Stegostoma tigrinum: one gene and its partner. The protein of the gene in region 1 interacts with the protein of each later gene in a pairwise test. Links are inferred from orthologs where the notes say so. Each region holds a gene or a part of one and is shown in the gene's direction. Other genes may lie near its edges.

Region 1 (10,445 bases):
TTATCTCCAACTGCCGTCGAGACATTAACCGCCTCAACCTCTCCACCCCTCTCACCCGCTCCAACCTCTCCCCTGCAGAACGGGCAGCCCTCCGCTCCAACCCCAACCTCACCATCAAACCCACAGACAAGGGTGGCGCAGTGGTAGTATGGCGCACTGACCTCTACATTGTCGAGGCCAGACGCCAACTCTCCGACACCACCTCCTACCGCCCCCTCGATCATGACCCCACACCCGAGCACCAAACCATCATCTCCAACACCATTCATGACCTCATCACCTCAGGGGACCTCCCACCCAAAGCCTCCAACCTCATTGTTCCCCAACCCCGCACGGCCTGTTTCTATCTCCTTCCCAAAATCCACAAACCTGCCTGCCCTGGTCGACCCATCGTCTCAGTCTGCTCCTGCCCCACCGAACTCATCTCCACCTATCTGGACTCCATTTTCTCCCCTTTGGTCCAGGAACCCCCTACCTACGTCCGTGACACCACCCACGCCCTCCACCTCCTCCAGGACTTCCAATTCCCTGGCCCCCAACACCTCATATTCACCATGGACGTCCAGTCTCTATACACCTGCATTCGGCATGGAGATGGCCTCAAGGCCCTCCGCTTCTTCCTGTCCCGCAGGCCCGACCAGTCCCCCTCCACTGACACCCTCATCCGCCTAGCCGAACTCGTCCTCACACTCAACAACTTCTCTTTTGACTCCTCCCACTTCCTACAGACTAAGGGGGTGGCCATGGGCACCCGCATGGGCCCCAGCTATGCCTGCCTCTTTGTAGGTTACGTGGAACAGTCCCTCTTCCGCGCTTACACAGGCCCCAAACCCCACCTCTTCCTCCAGTACATTGATGACTGTATCGGCGCCGCCTCTTGCTCCCCAGAGGAGCTCGAACAGTTCATCCACTTCACCAACACCTTCCACCCCAACCTTCAGTTCACCTGGGCCATCTTCAGCACATCCCTCACCTTCCTGGACCTCTCAGTCTCCATCTCAGGCAACCAGCTTGTAACTGATGTCCATTTCAAGCCCACCGACTCCCACAGCTACCTAGAATACACCTCCTCCCACCCACCCTCCTGCAAAAATTCCATTCCTATTCCCAATTCCTCTGCCTCCGCCGCATCTGCTCCCACAATGAGGCATTCCACTCCCGCACATCCCAGATGTCCAAGTTCTTCAAGGACCGCAACTTTCCCCCCACAGTGATCGAGAACGCCCTTGACCGCGTCTCCAGTATTTCCCGCAACACATCCCTCACACCCCGCCCCGGCCACAACCGCCCTAAGAGGATCCCCCTCGTTCTCACACACCACCCTACCAACCTCCGGATACAACGCATCATCCTCCGACACTTCCGCCATCTACAATCCGACCCCACCACCCAAGACATTTTTCCATCCCCACCCCTGTCTGCTTTCCGGAGAGACCACTCTCTCCGTGACTCCCTTGTTCGCTCCACACTGCCCTCCAACCCCACCACACCCGGCACCTTCCCCTGCAACCGCAGGAAATGCTACACTTGTCCCCACACCTCCTCCCTCACCCCCATCCCAGGCCCCAAGATGACATTCCACATTAAGCAGAGGTTCACCTGCACATCTGCCAATGTGGTATACTGCATCCACTGTACCCGGTGTGGCTTCCTCTACATTGGGGAAACCAAGCGGAGGCTTGGAGACCGCTTTGCAGAACACCTCCGCTCAGTTTGCAACAAACAACTGCACCTCCCAGTCGCAAACCATTTCCACTCCCCCTCCCATTCTCTTGATGACATGTCCATCATGGGCCTCCTGCACTGCCACAATGATGCCACCTGAAGGTTGCAGGAACAGCAACTCATATTCCGCCTGGGAACCCTGCAGCCTAATGGTATCAATGTGGACTTCACCAGTTTCAAAATCTCCCCTTCCCCTACTGCATCCCTAAACCAGCCCAGTTCATCCCCTCCCCCCACTGCACCACACAACCAGCCCAGCTCTTCCCCCCCACCCACTGCATCCCAAAACCAGTCCAGCCTGTCTCTGCCTCCCTAACCTGTTCTTCCTCTCACCCATCCCTTCCTCCCACCCCAAGCCGCACCCCCATCTACCTACTAACCTCATCCCACCTCCTTGACCTGTCCATCTTCCCTGGACTGACCTATCCCCTCCCTACCTCCCCACCTATACACTCCTCTCCACCTATCTTCTTTTCTCTCCATCTTCGGTCCGCCTCCCCCTCTCTCCCTATTTATTCCAGAACGCTCACCCCATCTCCCTCTCTGATGAAGGGTCTAGGCCCGAAACGTCAGCTTTTGTGCTCCTGAGATGCTGCTTGGCCTGCTGTGTTCATCCGGCCTCACATTTTACTATCTTGGATTCTCCAGCATCTGCAGTTCCCACCATCTCTCTTTCTCCAGAATTTTGTGTTTTTAGAATCAAAACATTTTACAGCATAGAAAAGGGCCCTTCAGGCCATCACACCTGTGCCAGTTTTCAAATATCATTTATTCTAATTCCAGTTTTCAGCACTTGGCCCCTAGCCTTGTATGCCATGGTGTTTCAAGTATTCATCTAAATATTTCTTAAATATCATCTCTACCTCCCTTTTAAGGAATGAATTCCACATAAATACAAACTTCTGGATGAAAATTCCTCAAATCCCCTCTAAACTTTCTGCTCCAAAGGGGAAAATGTTTCTATTTACCAATTCTATGCCTCTCAGAACAGTTTGCTTCAGATCTCCAGCATCTTGAGTTCTTTGAGAAATTCAGCAGGTCTGGCATTTAAGTGTGGAAACAGAGCAAAAACTGAGTTCTGGTGAAGAGTCACTGGACCTGGACCTTTAACTGTGCATTCTCACGCAATTTCTGTTTTTCAGATTCTCAGCATTGGCAGTTTTTTGGTTTTTTTTAAAAAATATGGTTCCTTGTTTAATTATCCCCACCTCTCTACATAGCTGATCACTCTATCCCAGGCAACATTCTGATGATAAAATGTGAGGCTGGATGAACACAGCAGGCCAAGGAGCATCTCAGGAGCACAAAAGCTGACATTTCGGGCCTAGACCCTTCATCAGAGAGGGGGATGGGGAGAGGGAACTGGAATAAATAGGGAGAGAGGGGGAGGCGGACCGAAGATGGAGAGTGAAGAAGATAGGTGGAGAGAGTATAGGTGGGGAGGTAGGGAGGGGATAGGTCAGTCCAGGGAAGACGGACAGGTCAAGGAGGTGGGATGAGGTTAGTAGGTAGATGGGGGTGCGGCTTGGGGTGGGAGGAAGGGATGGGTGGGAGGAAGAACCGGTTAGGGAGGCAGAGACAGGCTGGACTGGTTTTGGGATGCAGTGGGTGGGGGGTAAGAGCTGGGCTGGTTGTGTGGTGCAGTGGGGGGAGGGGACGAACTAGGCTGGTTTAGGGATGCAGTAGGGGAAGGGGAGATTTTGAAACTGGTGAAGTCCACATTGATACCATATGGCTGCAGGGTTCCCAGGTGGAATATGAGTTGCTGTTCCTGCAACCTTCAGGTGGCATCATTGTGGCAGTGCAGGAGGCCCATGATGGACATGTCATCTAGAGAATGGGAGGGGGAGTGGAAATGGTTTGCGACTGGGAGGTGCAGTTGTTTGTTGCAAACTGAGCGGAGGTGTTCTGCAAAGCGGTCTCCAAGCCTCCGCTTGGTTTCCCCAATGTAGAAGAAGCCGCACCGGGTACAGTGGATGCAGTATACCACATTGGCAGATGTGCAGGTGAACCTCTGCTTAATGTGGAATGTCATCTTGGGGCCTGGGATAGGGGTGAGGGAGGAGGTGTGGGGGCAAGTGTAGCATTTCCTGCGGTTGCAGGGGAAGGTGCCGGGTGTGGTGGGGTTGGAGGGCAGTGTGGAGCGAACAAGGGAGTCACGGAGAGAGTAGTCTCTCCGGAAAGCAGACAGGGGTGGGAATGGAAAAATGTCTTGGGTGGTGGGGTCGGATCGTAAATGGCGGAAGTGTCGGAGGATGATGCGTTGTATCCGGAGGTTGGTAGGGTGGTGTGTGAGAACGAGGGGTATCCTCTTTGGGCGGTTGTGGCGGCGGCGGGGTGTGAGGGATGTGTTGCGGGAAATACGGGAGACGCGGTCAAGGGCGTTCTCGATCACTGTGGGGGGAAAGTTGCGGTCATTAAAGAACTTGGACATCTGGGATGTGCGGGAGTGGAATGTCTTATCGTGGGAGCAGATGTGGCGGAGGCAGAGGAATTGGGAATAGGGGATGGAATTTTTGCAGGAGGGTGGGTGGGAGGAGGTGTATTCTAGGTAGCTGTGGGAGTCGGTGGGCTTGAAATGGACATCAGTTACAAGCTGGTTGCCTGAGATGGAGACTGAGAGGTCCAGGAAGGTGAGGGATGTGCTGGAGATGGCCCAGGTGAACTGAAGTTTGCGGTGGAAGGTGTTGGTGAAGTGGATGAACTGTTCGAGCTCCTCTGGGGAGCAAGAGGCGGCGCCGATACAGTCATCAATGTACCGGAGGAAGAGGTGGGGTTTGGGCCCTGTGTAGGTGCGGAAGAGGGACTGTTCCACGTGACCTACAAAGAGGCAGGCATAGCTGGGGCCCATGCGGGTGCCCATGGCCACCCCCTTAGTCTGTAGGAAGTGGGAGGAGTCAAAAGAGAAGTTGTTGAGTGTGAGGACGAGTTCAGCTAGGCGGATGAGAGTGTCGGTGGAGGGGGACTGGTAGGGCCTGCGGGATAGGAAGAAGCGGAGGGCCTTGAGGCCATCTCCATGCGGAATGCAGGTGTACAGGGACTGGACGTCCATGGTGAATATGAGGTGTTGGGGGCCAGGGAATTGGAAGTCCTGGAGGAGGTGGAGGGCGTGGGTGGTGTCACGGACGTAGGTGGGGAGTTCCTGGACCAAAGGGGAGAAAATGGAGTCCAGATAGGTGGAGATGAGTTCGGTGGGGCAGGAGCAGGCTGAGACGATGGGTCGACCAGGGCAGACAGGTTTGTGGATTTTGGGAAGGAGATAGAAACGGGCCGTGCGGGGTTGGGGAACAATGAGGTTGGAGGCTGTGGGTGGGAGGTCCCCTGAGGTGATGAGGTTGTGAATGGTGTTGGAGATGATGGTTTGGTGCTCGGGTGTGGGGTCATGATCGAGGGGGCGGTATCTTCTCTGCACCCCTCCAGTGCAAACACGTCCTTCCTACAGTGTGGTGATTAGAAGCATAACACCAAAGGATGATAACAAATAGGCTGTTCGGCTCCGCAAAACTCTGCGGAATTTCAACAGGATCACGGTCGACCTGGCATTCCTCACATCCATTTTTCTGCCCTTTCCCCATTATTCATCATTCCCTGACCGATCACGAATCTATCTCAACTAACAAGGTGTGGAGCTGGATGAACACAGCAGGCCAAGCAGCATCTCAGGAGCAGGAAAGCTGACATTTTGGGCGAAACGTCAGCTTTTGTGCTCCTGAAATGCTGCTTGGCCTGCTGTGTCCATCCAGCTTCACACTGTGTTATTTCAGATTCTACAGCATCTGCGGGTCCTATTGCCACTAATCTGTCTCATCCTGAAATATTCCACACACAACTTTATTTTAGACTTCCAGTATCTTGTTTTTATCCACACGGACGTAAGTCTAAAGGAATAACCCTTATCTTTCCCCAGCACTGGATAAAGCCTAACACACCTAAAATCTTCTCCCATTCAATGTATCAATCCCGCCCTCTTCTGTATCCATTTTCACTGTAACCAGTTCCGCGCCTGCGCACAGTACAGGTTCCGCCACGCCGTCGGCCCTGCGCTTGCGCACATTGCCATGATTCTTCCACGCCGCCGGTTTTACGTTTGCGTACAACGTCAGGGTTTCCTCGCCATCGGCCGGTCCTGCGCCTGCGCCTTCGCCTTCACCTTCACCCTGCCGGCGGGGTGGCGGCACTGCGGCTGCGCGATTCGTCTCCAGGTGACGGGGCCTAATGGCGGCGTTGGAGCCTGGGTGCGCGCTCCTGAAATGCTCTCATTATACCCGCTCCTGCAGGCTTCAGGTAAGCGGGATCTCAACCTCCCACGGGACATCTGGGTGGGAAGGAGAGGATACCTGCGTTTGTTCACCCCACCCTAATCAGTGCACAGGAAGATCCCAGACTGCAGGTTCCCTCCCCCACCTTTAACGATAGTGTTGGCCGAGGAGAACTCCCTCATCCCCCTCAAGTTTAAAACCACAAGAAATCGCATTAGGTGCGGGCTGTGTCCCCATGCGCGGGGCCAGTGCTGTTTCAGAGGGTTGGTGTTGATTCGATGGACCGAATGGACCACTTCCATGCTGCAGGGATTCCCTGAAATTCTCTTCCTCAGCGAGTCATAGAACCAAAGATTCTTCACCCTCTGAGAAATCTCTTGTAGAATACTGTGCCTAGTCCTGGTCGCCCTGCTATAGGAAGGGTATTATTTAAACTGGAGAGGGTTCAGAAGAGCTCTACCAGGATGTTGCCAGGAATGGGAGGGTTTGAGATATAAGGAAGAGGCTGCATTGGCTGAGACTTGTTTCACTGGATTGTGTGGGAGGTTGAGAGGTGACCTCCATGGAGGTTTATAAAAATCACCAGGGTTGTAGATAAAGTCAATAGCAGGTGTCTTTCCCCAGGGTGAGAGATTTCAACATAAGGGGTTGTACTTTTAAGGTGAGAGGAGAAAGATTTAAAAAAAACATGAGGGACAATTTTTTTTACCACACCAGGAGTGGTTCATGTTTGAAATGAACCTCTGGAGGTAGTGGTGGATGTAGGTACTGTTAGAGTTTTTAAAAAATTGAATATGTTCATGAATAAGTCTATTTGAATCTATCATTTAGGAAGAAATAGGAAAACATCTGGATATAAATTGTCCCATTGGGAACACCCAGTATGGGTTCATGAAGGGTAGGTCACGTATAACTAATTTGGTGTAATTCTTTTGGGACATTACTTGCATGGTAGTCAATGGGGAACTTGTGGATGTGGTGTATCTGGATTTCCAGAAGGCAAGTAATGTATTGGCATAGAGAGAGGATTGGTTGACCAGTAGAAAGAAAAGAGCAGGGGTAAATGGGTGTTTTTATTTTGTTTGGTCGGTGGCTAGTGCTGAGCCGCAGCGAACAGTGTTGGGACTGCAATTGTTTACAGTTTACATGGATGATTTAGAGTTGGGTACTAAGTATAGTGTGTCAAAATTTGCAGATGACACTAAGGTGAGCGGTAGAGCAAAGTGTGCAAAAGATACTGCAAGTCTGCAGAGGGATGTAGATAGTTGGTGAGTGGTAAAAAGGTCTGGCAGATGGAGTACACTGTTGATAAGTGTGAAGTCATCCATTTTGGTAGGAATAACAGCAAAATGGACTATGTTTTACATGGTAAAAAATTGCAGCACGGTGCTGTGCAGAGGGACTTGGGTGTCCTTGTACATGAATCGCTAAAAGTAGGATTACAGGTGCAGTGGGTTATTAAAAAGGCAAATGGAATTTTGTCTGCCGTTGCTCAAGGGATGGAGTTTAAAAACAGGGAGGCTATGCTGCAGCTCTCTAGGGTCCTGGTGAGGCCGTTTGGTCTCCTTACTTGAGAAGAGATATACGAGCACTCGAGGGGGTGCAGAGGAGATTCACTTGGTTGATTCCAGAGTTGAGAGGTTCGGATTATGAGGAGAGACTGAGTAGACTGGAATTATACTCATTGGAATTCAGAAGAATGAGGAGAGATCTTATAGAAACACAAGATTATGAAGGGAATAGATAAAGTGGAGGCAGGGAGGTTGTTTCTGCGAGCAGGTGAAACTAGGACTAGAGGGCATTGCTTTCCTTTATATTGAAGCAGATATATGACTGAGGCCCAAGAGGAGCTTTTTCATGCAAAGAGTTGTGAATCTGTGGAATTCCCTGCCCAGTGTAGTGGTTGAAGCTACCTCACTGAATGTTTTTTAAGGCAAGGCTAGATAAATTTTTGAACAGTAAAGGAATTAAGGGTTATGGTGAGTGGGCGGGTAAGTGGAGATGAGTCTCAAAAAGATCAGCCATGATCTTATTAAATGGTGGGGCAGGCTTAACCGGCCAGATGACTCTACAAAATGGGAAATACCAACATTTTAAACTGTGCCCTATGTAGTCCTAGTATCCTCTGCAAATGAAGGAATCGTCTCAAATGTCACCTTATCAGTCAACAGCCTTTTGTTGATACTTGTACAGTTCTGAGGGGACGTGGCAGGCTGGATGTTGAGAGGATATTTCAATTTATAGGGGAATCTAGAACTAGAGAATATAGTTTCTGAATAAGGATTTTCCCATTGAGGACAGAAATTAGGAGACATTTCTCAAAGCCATGACCTGTGGAATTTGGTTTGCCATTGAGCACTGTAGTTTGGATTGTTGAATGTATCAGTAGTCGAGTTAAACAGATTGTTGATCAATAAGGGACTGTAGGCTTGTGGGAGACAGGCAGGAAAGTGAAGTTGAGGCCACAACCACAGGTACATCACCTGTGACCATATTGAATGACAAAGTGGGCTCAAAGGAGCCAGATGACCTACTTGAGTTTCTAATTTCTGTGTTCTTATTGACCAGAGCTGATAACATTGAAATAGTATATCTGAGTTATAGAAGTTGGCTGTAAAGCACTGAGATCTCCTGATGTTGTGAAAAGCACTATATGTGGAGATAATGGTCTGGTGGTACAAACTCTACGCTTATAATCCAGAAACCCATGAAACAATCAAGGGACCCAGGTTCGAATCCTGCTATGACAGAATTGAATTCAATAAAAATCTGGAATTAGGAATCTGGTGATGACCATGAAAGTGTTGCCAATTGTCAGTGGGGGGGACAGAAAGCACATATGATTCACTGATGTCCTTTACAGAAAGAATCTGCTGTCCTTACATGGTCTGGCCTACATGTGATTCCAGACCCACAGCAATGTGGTTGACTCTTAACTGCCCTCTAGTCAATTAGGGATGTGCAAAAAATTTGTCTGACCAGCAATCCCACACCCCATAAATGAATTTTAAAAATTGCAAATATTTCTTGTCTCTTGATGGGGCTAAGTGTTGTAGATGCAATTCTGGAGACACGCTGTAGCCTCCTTCCTTCCCCAGCCAACTGTGCTTGACATCCCACACCTAATCAACTACACACCAGGGCCATCTTCCCTCCTTCAAACAGGGAGGGCCAGTTGGAACCTGATTTAAGTAGGTTCTAAGATGTCATATTCTATTCACCATTTATCCTAATGAACATACCTTACTTCACTAACAGTGAGAAATATAAAATGCTGTGTTCTCAATGGTCAGGAGATGGCCTCAGGTGAAGGTCTAATGGTGTGGCTACCTGTTGAAACAAGAGTGGTTTACTCCTTGAACTACCTCAATATGACTTTCCTGCACACTCTTCACATTCTTCGCTGTCATTAGTCTGCAGAAAGCTATTAATTTCTGTCTTTACACTGCTCAGTGACTGAGCGCTCTCCACCTTATGAGTGGAAAAATACCCCATCATTTCAGTTTTAAATGGCGTATACCTTCTGAGATTATGCTCCCTGGTTCTATACTCTCCAACCAGGAGAAACATCCTATGTACATCCAGCTTGTCATGGCCCTGTAAGAATTTTGTAAATTTCACTGGCATCACCTCTCATTGCTTGTTTCATCCGCATGCTTTTAGTGACTTGTGGACACAGACATCCAGATCCGTTTGAAACCCCATTATGTCCCATTGTCTCAACTATTTAAATATTTTCATCTTTGTTGTTTCTACCAGAGTGAATACTTTCACATTTACTCACATAATATTTCCCCTGCCATGTTCTAGCCCAGATTAGCCTGGCCGCATCCTCTTGAAGCTTCCTTGCAGCCTCTTCACAGCTTGTGTTCCCATTTGGTGTTGTCAGCAAATTTCGAGATTTGGTCGCCAGGTACTGATCATTTGTATCAATTGTGAACAGTCGTGGACCCAGCACTGACATATACTTTGCTTCACAAATAAAGTAATGCCCCCTGAGACTTGTTGGTTCAGCCCTACTGTTCGCTTTCTGTCTGTTAATCAAGTCTTATCCATGCCAATATGTTCTTCCCAATCCCATGTGCTTTAATTTCGTTTACTAGCCTCTTGTGTGACATGCTATCAAAAGCCTTCTAAAGATATAAATGCTTCACATCCATTGAAGCCTATCCTGACACACTGAAGGTGTTTTTAAATTTCAGTGTTGATGTCTGCCATTGGTGTCAGTTGGCTCCCAGGATAAAGAAAGTGATCCATGTTGCCCAAGGCTGTCTCTTGGACTTTGATAACGGGGGGCCGTGCACAGTAGTGGAGCCAATTTAGTACAGGACCTTTGTTCACAAATGTTTAATGAAAAGCCCATTTTCTTAATTGCCTTGGTGGCATGTTAGACAGTAGCAGAGTTAAGCCACTAGTTGCGTTGTACAATAGATCTATGAATTTTCCGTGTGTTATCCTTTA
Region 2 (10,631 bases), on another chromosome or scaffold:
CCAAGATAACAAAGTGTGGAGCTGGATGAACACAGCAGGCCAAGCAGCATCTTAGGAGCTGCTTGGCCTGCTGTGTTCATCCAGCTCCACACTTTGTTATCTTGACAGCTATAAGTTACAAATTAGGAGTGTAATGGAATACTCTCCACTTGTAGATGACTGCAGTTCCAACAACACTTAAGAAGCACAACATAAATAACCAAATTGATTAGCACCCTATTTACCAATGCAATGAAGAAGTGTTGACTGTCAATGAAATGCACAGCAGGAACACACCAAACCTCCTTCTTCAGCAGCTTCTAAACCTAAAACTTTCACCACCTGAATATGTGCAGGTTCTCCTCCAAATCACACATCTTGGCTTGTGAAATGGGTTACAATACTCACTGTCATCGTGTAATGGCTTCGGGATCTTGGAGCAATCTTGCAAGGATGTCATGGAGCTGCACATCAAAAGGATAAAAAGCACAGTGTGGATACCATAAGAACACACTGAACACTCTGGAAGAGCATTACTAGAATAGCAACCAAAACTAGAAAATCCATAAGTACGTGGACTTGTATATACAGGAACATATATAAACTAGGTAATGAGTAATCTAAGTCATATGTATCTATAATTATCCTATATTGCAGTATTTAGAATGAATGTAGAATAAGAAGTGATACTTTTAACTCCATGCCTTAAGATAGTTCTTGACTTTCCCTTCTCCTCAGCCAGGCTGTGTCCAACCCAAACTCAGTGTAGCAGCAAATTATTCAATAAAAGAACAGACACTGGGTCAAAACATGAGAACTACCCCCCATCAGCAACACCAGGTCTATACCTATATGCTGTGGAATGGGGAAGCTTCTTACTGCTATGTTCACAAAATAAACTGTGAGAGGCAGGCATCAGTGATTTCTTGATTCCAGGATGGCATCTATTTAGGGACATGAGTTTCTTCCCTTGATCTTCATGCAACTGAATAGGCTGATTCTCAATCCACAGATATATGTGCAATGATACAAACTATGGATGTATAAATAGATATTTAATGTTTATGTTGCAAGTTTGGGGTTCTGGCTTTTGAGTTAATAACCTGTGAGTTTTCTGTGCATCTCAAGTTAATAATTAACATGCAAGTATTTCTGTAGTTGAGAATTCTTTTAACAGCTTTTAAGGTTGGCTTTCAAATGAATGTGTTTGTGTGCACCAGTAATGAGTTTTTAAAATCTATCTTAGGTTGTTTTGGGACCCAGCAAGATAGATAATGGGATGTCAAAGTAGTGTTCCCTCTAATTCTCTTTTTAGCTGTGTGAGCCACCAAGGTCCATGTGCAGTCTGATGAAGGGTCTAGGCCCGAAACATCAGCTTTTATGCTCCTGAGATGCTGCTGGGCCTGCTGTGTTCATCCAGCCTCACATTTCGTTATCCATGTGCAGTCACGCAGCTAAGAGGGAACATTGGCCTCAAGGTTTGTTTGAAATTTCTAGAACATCTTTCTTTTAAAGCTTAATGAAAGAACCCGTACTTTACAGAGGGATACTTCTAGTTCCAGTATTGAGCGGTTTTGCGCAGTCCTTTGAATAGGAAAGCTATACAGGCCAGTACTCCTGGGATGTATATAGTAAACTAGATTACCTTAAAGGTGAACAGTTAGAGTTAATGCCAGATTAGAAGTGTTAAGATAAAACCCTGAAGAGGTGACTTAAAGTGGAGTACATTGAAGTTTGGGTGTATAATGACTTCTTCCTGGATCCCTTTGCAGTTTCCGTCTAAAAGTTGGAGTCACAAGTGACTTAAAACTATCGAGGTTTTAGATGTAAGGACTCTGGAGTTAGCATTGCACAAATGGTATTTAGGGTACTATGCAAAAGCTGTTTTGTTTCTTTCAATTTATGAAGGAGAGGTTTGGGATTAATGGGATTATATTTTGACTATGTTTAAAAATCTTTAATTTGATGTTAGAAGTAGATGCTTTGGTTCATCTTATTACATCTTAATTTGTTTTGCTAGTAAACATCTGTTTTATTGTTAAAGCAAATCTGCAGCAATGCGTGTTTATGTTCTAGCAAGAGATCACTTTGTTAAAACCAAAACAAATCAAAATATGATCTACCAAGCCAGATTTCTATCTGAGACCTGATTTGTCCAATAGTAATATCAACTGAGATTATAACAGAACACATGAGGTGTGAGATTCCAAGCGTTAACAGGATCTGGAATACAGGAGTTGCTCCCTTCTTTCCTTCTCTGTTACAAGATGCTTTGCCTCAAAGCACAAGGGAACCTCATGAACAAGTTGTCACCATTTTAAATGATTGATAGCAAGCTGTATGCAGTCATTAATGTCAATGCTGTTGCACTTCAAATAGTACTCGCAAACATATTTGAAGCACTTTCTTGGTTCTCCCATGGAATGATGGACCAGTCAGATGAAGTGCTTTTCAACCATGCAAACATGATGACCAGCCCACTGTAGTTGATTTTGCATGTGTTTGCCTGATTGTTTATGAGCTGGCTGCAAGGATGACGCTAGGTTTTGGTCAACAATATTGTCATTGAATCTAGAGAATGCACTGATATTGCTTTTGGACATTGTCTGTTACTGTTACATGGTCAAGGTCTCTCTCACTGCACTATACAAATGTAATGGTAATTGCTGTTCTCGACATGAAGACTACTGTTTATTTTCTGACATTTATTTGTTCTCAAAACAATAGTTCGTGGAAGAACAGTTTGAACTGGCATTAACTGTTCTGAGGAAGGGTCACGGGCCCTGAAACTTTAACTCTGTTTTCTCCTCCACAGATGCTGCCAGACCTGCCGAGCTTTTCCAGAAACTTTGTTTTTGTTCCTGATTTACAGCATCCGCAGTTCTTTTGGTTTTTAACTGTTCCAGTGTTGAATCTCATCAATGGTGACCTTTAAAGGTATGGAATATGCTCAACACATTCCAGAGTCTATCCCTTAATAGGAATATTTAACTAATTTGGTCTACTTAATATAACTAATGTTTTAGCAAAATTCAAGAGCAGGCTGAGTCACTAGTATACAGAATTGAAGAGATACAAAGTGGCTTACAAGTATGGTCTACGATAATCAATGACAACAGTTATCTGCACATTACAGGACACGTATTTTTACGGTATTATGGACCAGACCAGACTCTTTCAAAATATTTTACGAAGGTAGCCTGGACCCTAACACGAGGTGTCCTGCTCAGTCATGATACACTTCTGTTGATGGGTATTCAATTTTCTGGAGAAAACACCCAAGAAGTCAATCTTCTTGTCAGAATACAGCACCAACACCCACAGCACACACATCAATAACCACCTTGAATTGATTTGCATAATTAGGTGTGGCTAACACTGGGATAGTGGCTAACACAGCTTTCAGGCTGTTAAATACCTTCTGACAGTCCGTCCTCCACTGAAATTTTCTGCACTTCCTCATTAGGTCAGTCAGTGTTACAACCACACTACTGAAATTTGGTACAAACTTCCCATAAAACCCAGTCAAAACCAGGAATCATAGTACTGCAGTCTTCGTCGATGGTAAGGGAACTCGCCAGTAGCCTTTGTTTTCACACCCCATGGGGGCATCTGTCCATGTCTGATAACATGGCCCAGGAAAATGGCTTCAGCTTTTGTGAATTCACTCTTAGTCCAGTTTATCACCAAGCCTGCCTCCGAAGTCGATTGAAAAATTCCGATAAATGGTGCAAATGTTCCTTCCATGTGTGACTAATAATCATTAATGCACACCACACAATCAGGTAATCCAGAAATAACTTTATTCATTAGTCTTTGAAATGTGACCAGAGAATTCTTCATACCAAATGACATGACTTTAAATTGCTACAATCCATTCAGGGTCACGAAAGCCAAAATAGTCCTCATTCTTTCAGATAAAAGGTACCTGCCAGTATTCTCTGAGTAAGTCCAACTTTGAAATATAAGTCCCATGTCCCACCTTCTCAATACATTCTTCCTAATGTGTAATAGGATACGAATAAGGCTTTGTAACTGCATTGACTTCACAATATTCTACCCATAATTCTTGGCTACCATCTGGTTTTAGCACCATTTCAGTGAATGGGCTCCAGTCGCCGCAACGTATTTTGACTTTGTTGTCCTTAAGCAAGCATTCAATCTCTTTTTGAATCTGTGCCAAATTTACAGTGTTAGGTCAATAAAGATGTTGCTGGAATTGAATGCCATTTCCATGTCATGCATTGTTAAATTAGTACTTCCCAGTTTATATGCACATATGTCCCAATGCAATTGTAATAACTCAGGTCTTTTCAACTTCCCTCTGGAAGGTAATTCAATAATGTATCGCAATTTTTGAGAACTTCCTCATTGTCCAAAATAATTTGAGGAAACAATGAGCTGGAGGAACTCAGCAGGTCAAGCAGCATCAGAAGAGCAGCAAAGCCAACGTTTTGGGTTTACACCCCTCACCAGGATTGGGGATGAGGAAGGGAGTTCAGAAATAAAAAGAGGAAATGGGGTGGGGCTGGAGAAAACTAGGTGGATTGCTGATAGGTGGATGCAAGTAGGGGGTAGTAGAGATTGGTCAGTGGGAAGGGTGGTGCAGATAGGTGGGAAAGAAGATGGACAGGTTTTGTCAGGTCAAAGAGGCAGGCATGAAAGGGAGGGTTGGACATGGGATGATGCCAGGGGTGGAGAGATTTTGGAACTGGCAAATTTTATGTTGAGACCATTGGGCTGTAAGCTCCAGAGTGAAATATAAGGTGCTCTTCCTCCAGTTTGCGTGTGGTGTCATTATGACACTGGAGGCAACCCAGGATGGACAGATCACCAAGGGAGTGGGAGCGCAAGTGTAACACTTCCTGTGGTCGCAGGGAAAGGTGCCAGGTGTGGTAGGGTTGATAGGGAGCGGGGAGTAGACGATGGAGTCATGATTGGGTTTCCACTGGGTGCTCTGGTTTCCTCCCACAGTCTAAAGATGGGTAGGTTAGGTGGATTGACCATAGTGTCCAGGATTTTGCTGAAAGTGGATGAGCCATGGGAAATGCAGGTTTACAGGGACAGGGTGGCATCCTGCTCCTCTGATGCTACTTGGCCGACTGTGTTCATCCAGCTCTACACCTTGTTATTTCAGATTCTCCAGCATTTGCAGTTCCTATGATCACTAAAACATTCACATCACTTAGGTACTTTACTTTAAACCAGATGTAGTACGACGGCATGCATCTTCAGTCCTATTCTGTTCCATTTTATATTTAACACAGCTATCGAAGATATACACGCGTTACGTTTTTAAAATTCTCGGGCGAGATCACTCAGAAAATAGCTCATAATGTTAGGTTTGCTTTCTTTAAGCTGGTTTGAATTGATGCCCTCTGAGCCGAATCCGTTCTATAAAACGAACGCCAAATACTGGAAATTGTACTTAAGTCGTTAAGATAATAAAATGTGAGGCTGGATGAACACAGCAGGCCAAGCAGCATCTCAGGAGCACAAAAGCTGACGTTTCGGGCCTAGACCCTTCATCAGAGAGGGGGATGGGGAGAGGGAACTGGAATAAATAGGGAGAGAGGGGGAGGCGGACCGAAGATGGAGAGTAAAGAAGATAGGTGGAGAGAGTGTAGGTGGGGAGGTGGGGAGGTAGGGAGGGGACAGGTCAAGGAGGTGGGATGAGGTTAGTAGGTAGCTGGGGGTGCGGCTTGGGGTGGGAGGAAGGGATGGGTGAGAGGATTAACCGGTTAGGGAGGCAGAGACAGGTTGGACTGGTTTTGGGATGCAGGGGGGGGGGGGGGGAGAGCTGGGCTGGTTGTGTGGTGCAGTGGGGGGAGGGGACGAACTGGGCTGGTTTAGGGATGCAGTAGGGGAAGGGGAGATTATCATTATCTCTGATACTACTTAAGTCGTTAACTCTGTTTCTCTCTCTCCAAAGATGCGGCTGAGTTCTCCAGCACTTTCTGCATTTTTTAAAAAATTTCAGCCTTCTCACATGATTTTCAAGCTGTTAACCACATCGATTGGTCGGCCAGACCCGCTGCAGTACAGAAGTGGCCTATCACCTCCCTATTTGTGAAGAAGGGTCCCGACCCGAAACGTCAACAAAGTGTGGAGCTGGATGAACACAGCAGGCCAAGCAGCATCTCAGGAGCACAAAAGCTGACGGTTCGGGCCTAGACCCTTCATCGGTGAGGGTTCTGGAATAAATAGGGAGAAGTGGACCGAAGATGGAGAGGAGAGTATAGGTGGGGAGGTAGGGAGGGGATAGGTCAGTCCAGGGAAGACGGACAGGTCAAGGAGGTGGGATGAGGTTAGTAGGTAGGAAATGGAGGTGCGGCTTGAGATAGGAGGAAGGGATGGGTGAGAGGAAGAGACAGGCTGGGCTGGTTTTGGGATGCAGTGGGGGGAGGGTACGAACTGGGCTGGTTAACCCTACATCTCCTTTGCTGCCTGATCTGCCGTGTTCGTCCAGCTCCACAGTGTTGACTTCGACTCCGACATCTCCAGTTCTTGTTATCTCCCACCTCGCCGTTCAGCTTATCAAAGGTAGTACGAATGACATGCACCTCCATCAACGGCTCTATCACGTGTCGCTGGTTGACAGCCGGTGTCACGTGCAGGTCTGGCCCAGAAGCCCCGCCTTTACGTCGCCAGGCGGAGCGAACCGGTGGTTTTTAGAAGGAGGAGCCGATAATGCGCAAGCGTATTAGCTTGGGTGCCACGTGTCACCTGTGGGCATGCGTAGTGGTTCGGTACTGTTGTCGGTCGGAGAGAGTAGGCCTTGTTTAGCGTTGTAGTCGGTGTCCCTTTTGAGGGTGGGCGGGGGAGTTTATTTGTTTTGCGTAAGGTATGGCTGGTTGGGCAGGATTTTCGGATGAGGAATTAACACGCATAAAGCAACTAAAAGGTAAAAGAAGGAATCGTGATGTAAGAATTGAATGATGATTCTGATTTTGGGGTGCAGTTACAGGAGAGTGATGGGGAAACTTTTTCGAAACAGAAACGCTGGCCAGAATTAATCATGACCTGAATAAGTGTGGATGAGCTAAAAAGTCAGCATGGGTTTCGCAAGGTCAAGTCTTGTTTAACGAGCTTGGAGGTTTTTTATTTGAAGAGGTACCGAAGAGATGGAGGATAATCTTGATGTCGTGTATTTGGATATCCAACATTGTTTTGGTGTACTCCTACTCATCAGACTCTCTTAAACTATAAATGTGTGTATTAATATGGGTGCAAGATTGGCTTAGTGACATACAAAGGGTGTATTAATGGCGAATAGTTCCTGTAAGACTGGCGAAACGCTTAGAAGGCGATTCCACCGTGGGTTGTTAGGATTTCATAATCCTCCTGATGCATTAATGACTGAGACTGTTGCTACAGAACACAAATGATACACAGCTTGAAAGTATGAAGCACCTGGAGGATGGTGCAAACTTGATCTTGTGCTTTAAGGCTACATTGTCATTGAGGTACCTCCTAAGTATCATGGAATATGGTTGTGTGCAGATTTGTGTATTTAGATTATCAAAAATGGCTATTTTCTATAAAAACTGAGACTGTCTCATGCTCAATTTAAACTGGTGTTGTACTGAAAATGACAGTGCAGGCTTGAAGGGCTGAAGAGCCTGTACCTGTGCTGTATTTGTTCTTTGATTACTGAAGTCAATCATGTGATCAGTTGCATGATTTTACATAAATCTCATCATGGTAAAAACTTCATATAAGTATGCAGCAGTTGTAATTTAATGCAGGAAGTATAATGTAAATCGTTTTGGTCGAGCAATGACATGAGTACTGTTCTCAGTAGGGTATAGAAGCAAGGTGACCTGGATGTAGGTGTACATAAGTTGTGGAAGATAGCAAGGTAGGTTGAGAAAATGGCTGATAAAGCCCATTATATCTCAATGGACACTTGTGGTACATTGCTAATATCCTTACATCTGAGCCAGAAAGCTGGGGTTCACATTGTATTTGTCCAAAAAGTATGTTAGGGGCACTAATTGTGAGATCCTACATGTATGCCTGGACTGTCTGTGCCTCTGCACACTGCCCCTGAAGCAGCTGTTTGGAATAGAGACTGTTATGCATCTACTGGAATGTGCCTGGACAAAGAAAGTCTGGAGAGAGATGCAGTGGTTTTTGTCAAGGTTAATCATGTGCACTATGAATTATTGGCCAGGACACACACTGAGGTGATCGTTGACTGCACCTGGAGAACTGTCATCTTGGTGAAAGACTGTCCTTGGTCTGCCCATAACCTGTTGGCTTCCAGAGCAGCAGTTGACCTTGCCCACGTGTGAACTGGCATGTTCCATATGTTCTAAGGTCCAGGGCTACATGCTAAGGGATGCATTAAAGCCTGGGGCAGCTGCTGCCAAAGTGCAGTGGGGAAACATTGCTGTCTAAGGTTTTTCTGCTGAAGTACATTTAGTTATTGGACCCTCCCGGTACCTCAAATGCATGTAAATATAGTCTTGAATAAGTGAGAAGTGCCTTGGGTTTGTTTGTCTACATATGTAAAGACTGTGTAAAATTGAATGAGTGATTATATATCTATATGTAATAATGGGTTGATTGAATGGGGCGGCAGGTGACTGAGCAGTTAGCACTGCTGCCTCACAGCTCCAGAGACCCAGGCTTGATTCCACCCTCGGGCAACTGTCTGTGTGAGGTATGTACGTTCTCTCCATGTCTACATTGTTTTTTTTCCCCACAGTCCAAAGATGTGCTTCTTTGATGTTTCAGGCTTGATAGATTGGCAGTGGGGATGCGGAGTTGGAGGTTGGGTCTGGGTGGGATACTCTTTGGAGGGTTGGTTTGGACTCAGTCAACCAAATGGCCTGCTCCCACAGTGTAGGGGTTCTGTGATTCTGTGATGGTTCTATGATTAGAAAATATCTATGATGCCTTTAGGGTTTATCAAAAGGGTAGGGTACAAAAGCAGGAGGTTATGTGAAATCTATATAAGACATTGGTTTGCCCTCAATTGTAGAATTGTGTCGACTATACTTAAAAGATATGAAGGCATTAGATAGGGTGCAGAACATTTACAAGAATGGCTCTGGGGATGAGATACTTCAGTTGGATGAACTGGATACAATTGGATAGGATCCTTGGTTAAGAGAAAGTGAAGGTGAGGAGATTTGATATTAGGTATTCAGAATCATAAGGGCCCTCTCCAGTGTAGATGAGGAGAAAGCATTTCCAATGGCAGGATTGAGAAACCGTGCAGATTTAAGATAACTGAAAGCAATGTTTGACGTGAGTAAAACCTTAATCCTGTAGTGAGTGGCTAGGCTGTGGATTACCTTACCTGTGAGTATTCTGGAGGTATTGGCAAATTAGGCTTTCCAAAGATTATTAGATTGTGATAGAATCACAGTCTACAGCATGGAAACAAATTTTGGTCCAACCAGTCTAGCCAACCATAATCCCAAACTAAACTAATCCCACCTGCCTGCACTTGGCCCATATTTATAATCCATATCTGAAATGGTAAAATTTCCAGGACTAAGTGAAGAAGCAGGGAAGTGACATGAAGTAAATTGCCCCTTCAGAGGCCCAACACAAACATGACATACCAAAAGCCATCTGTCTTTTATAACCGTTCTGATATTTCTATAGCTGTTATTAGAGGTTTTCTTCCTTGGTCTGTCTGTCTGGCTGGCCATCAGCTCTGATAGAGGTTGCTTATTGTGCTTTCAGGATGGTATGGCTGGGATCCGTTGCCATTATTCTACTGTTCCATAGCTAGCAAAGCAAACTGTAAATATGATTGATTAAGAATAAGTTGGATGGTCTGGCATCACTGAAGTCCTGAATGTGATAGCTCTCAATTAGTTACTTCTAGAAAGAAAGAGCTCGCATTTATATAGCCTGTTTCATGAAGGACAGGCCTCAAAGTCCTTATTAGGTGATTTTGAAGTGTGGTCACTAATTCATGTAAACAGGACACAAGAATATGTGCATGGTGAGGGTTCATAATCTGCCTTGAGATGAATCACCTAGTTAAAACTTTGTAGGTTTGCCATGCTGTAACCATTGGCTAGAATTTTCTCGCACATCTTTGAATAGCATCACAGCGTTCTGCATGAATGAATATGGTGTACTAATGATTGTAAAATTAATCTTAAATCTGAATTTACAACAACACCAGAAAAAGTATTTTTTCAAATGTTGTACAAGTTCACCTCCTAATATCCTTGGGAAAGTATCTGCTGTTGTAGGCCTGCTTACAAGTAGATGATACTTCATAAAAGGACAATGGGTAATAAAGGGGAAACTTGAAAGATTTTCCATTTGTATAGAACTGTTCATGACTGCACAATACACCATACCACTTGACAGCCAATGAAGGACATTTGAAGTGCAGACATTGACCAGGAAGTATTTCTGCTTTGTTAACAATCACCCCTACCTCAAGAGCAGCTCTTAAAGGACAGACATGTTTTAACTTAGCTTAAGTTTTAACTTAAATGATGAAATTTTGAAAAATACTGTGCTGTCAGTGCTGAAATAGTGTTTTAAATTCCTGGAATGGGATTTTATTTCTTCATCCAATAAGGGTTTTATGGCTTAAACACTTACTTTTGAAATGTATTAAGTTATAACAAGCACAGCATCACTTCTGCATGCAATGTCTTGAGAGAGACCTA

What was found.
Region 2: the proteins of rchy1 (region 1) and gorab interact in a two-hybrid assay, tested with the Homo sapiens proteins (3 studies listed by BioGRID and IntAct). The link is inferred for Stegostoma tigrinum from reciprocal best matches to the Homo sapiens genes RCHY1 and GORAB.

What each region holds. Positions count from the first base shown.
Region 1 is NC_081354.1:2,945,515-2,955,959, forward strand, and holds the start of rchy1 (RING finger and CHY zinc finger domain-containing protein 1), read left to right. Parts: upstream 1-5,892; 5' UTR 5,893-5,940; coding exon 5,941-6,009; intron 6,010-10,445. UniProt on the Homo sapiens protein: E3 ubiquitin-protein ligase that mediates ubiquitination of target proteins, including p53/TP53, TP73, HDAC1 and CDKN1B. Mediates ubiquitination and degradation of p53/TP53; preferentially acts on tetrameric p53/TP53.
Region 2 is NC_081361.1:47,132,091-47,142,721, forward strand, and holds the start of gorab (RAB6-interacting golgin), read left to right. Parts: upstream 1-6,704; 5' UTR 6,705-6,825; coding exon 6,826-6,883; intron 6,884-10,631.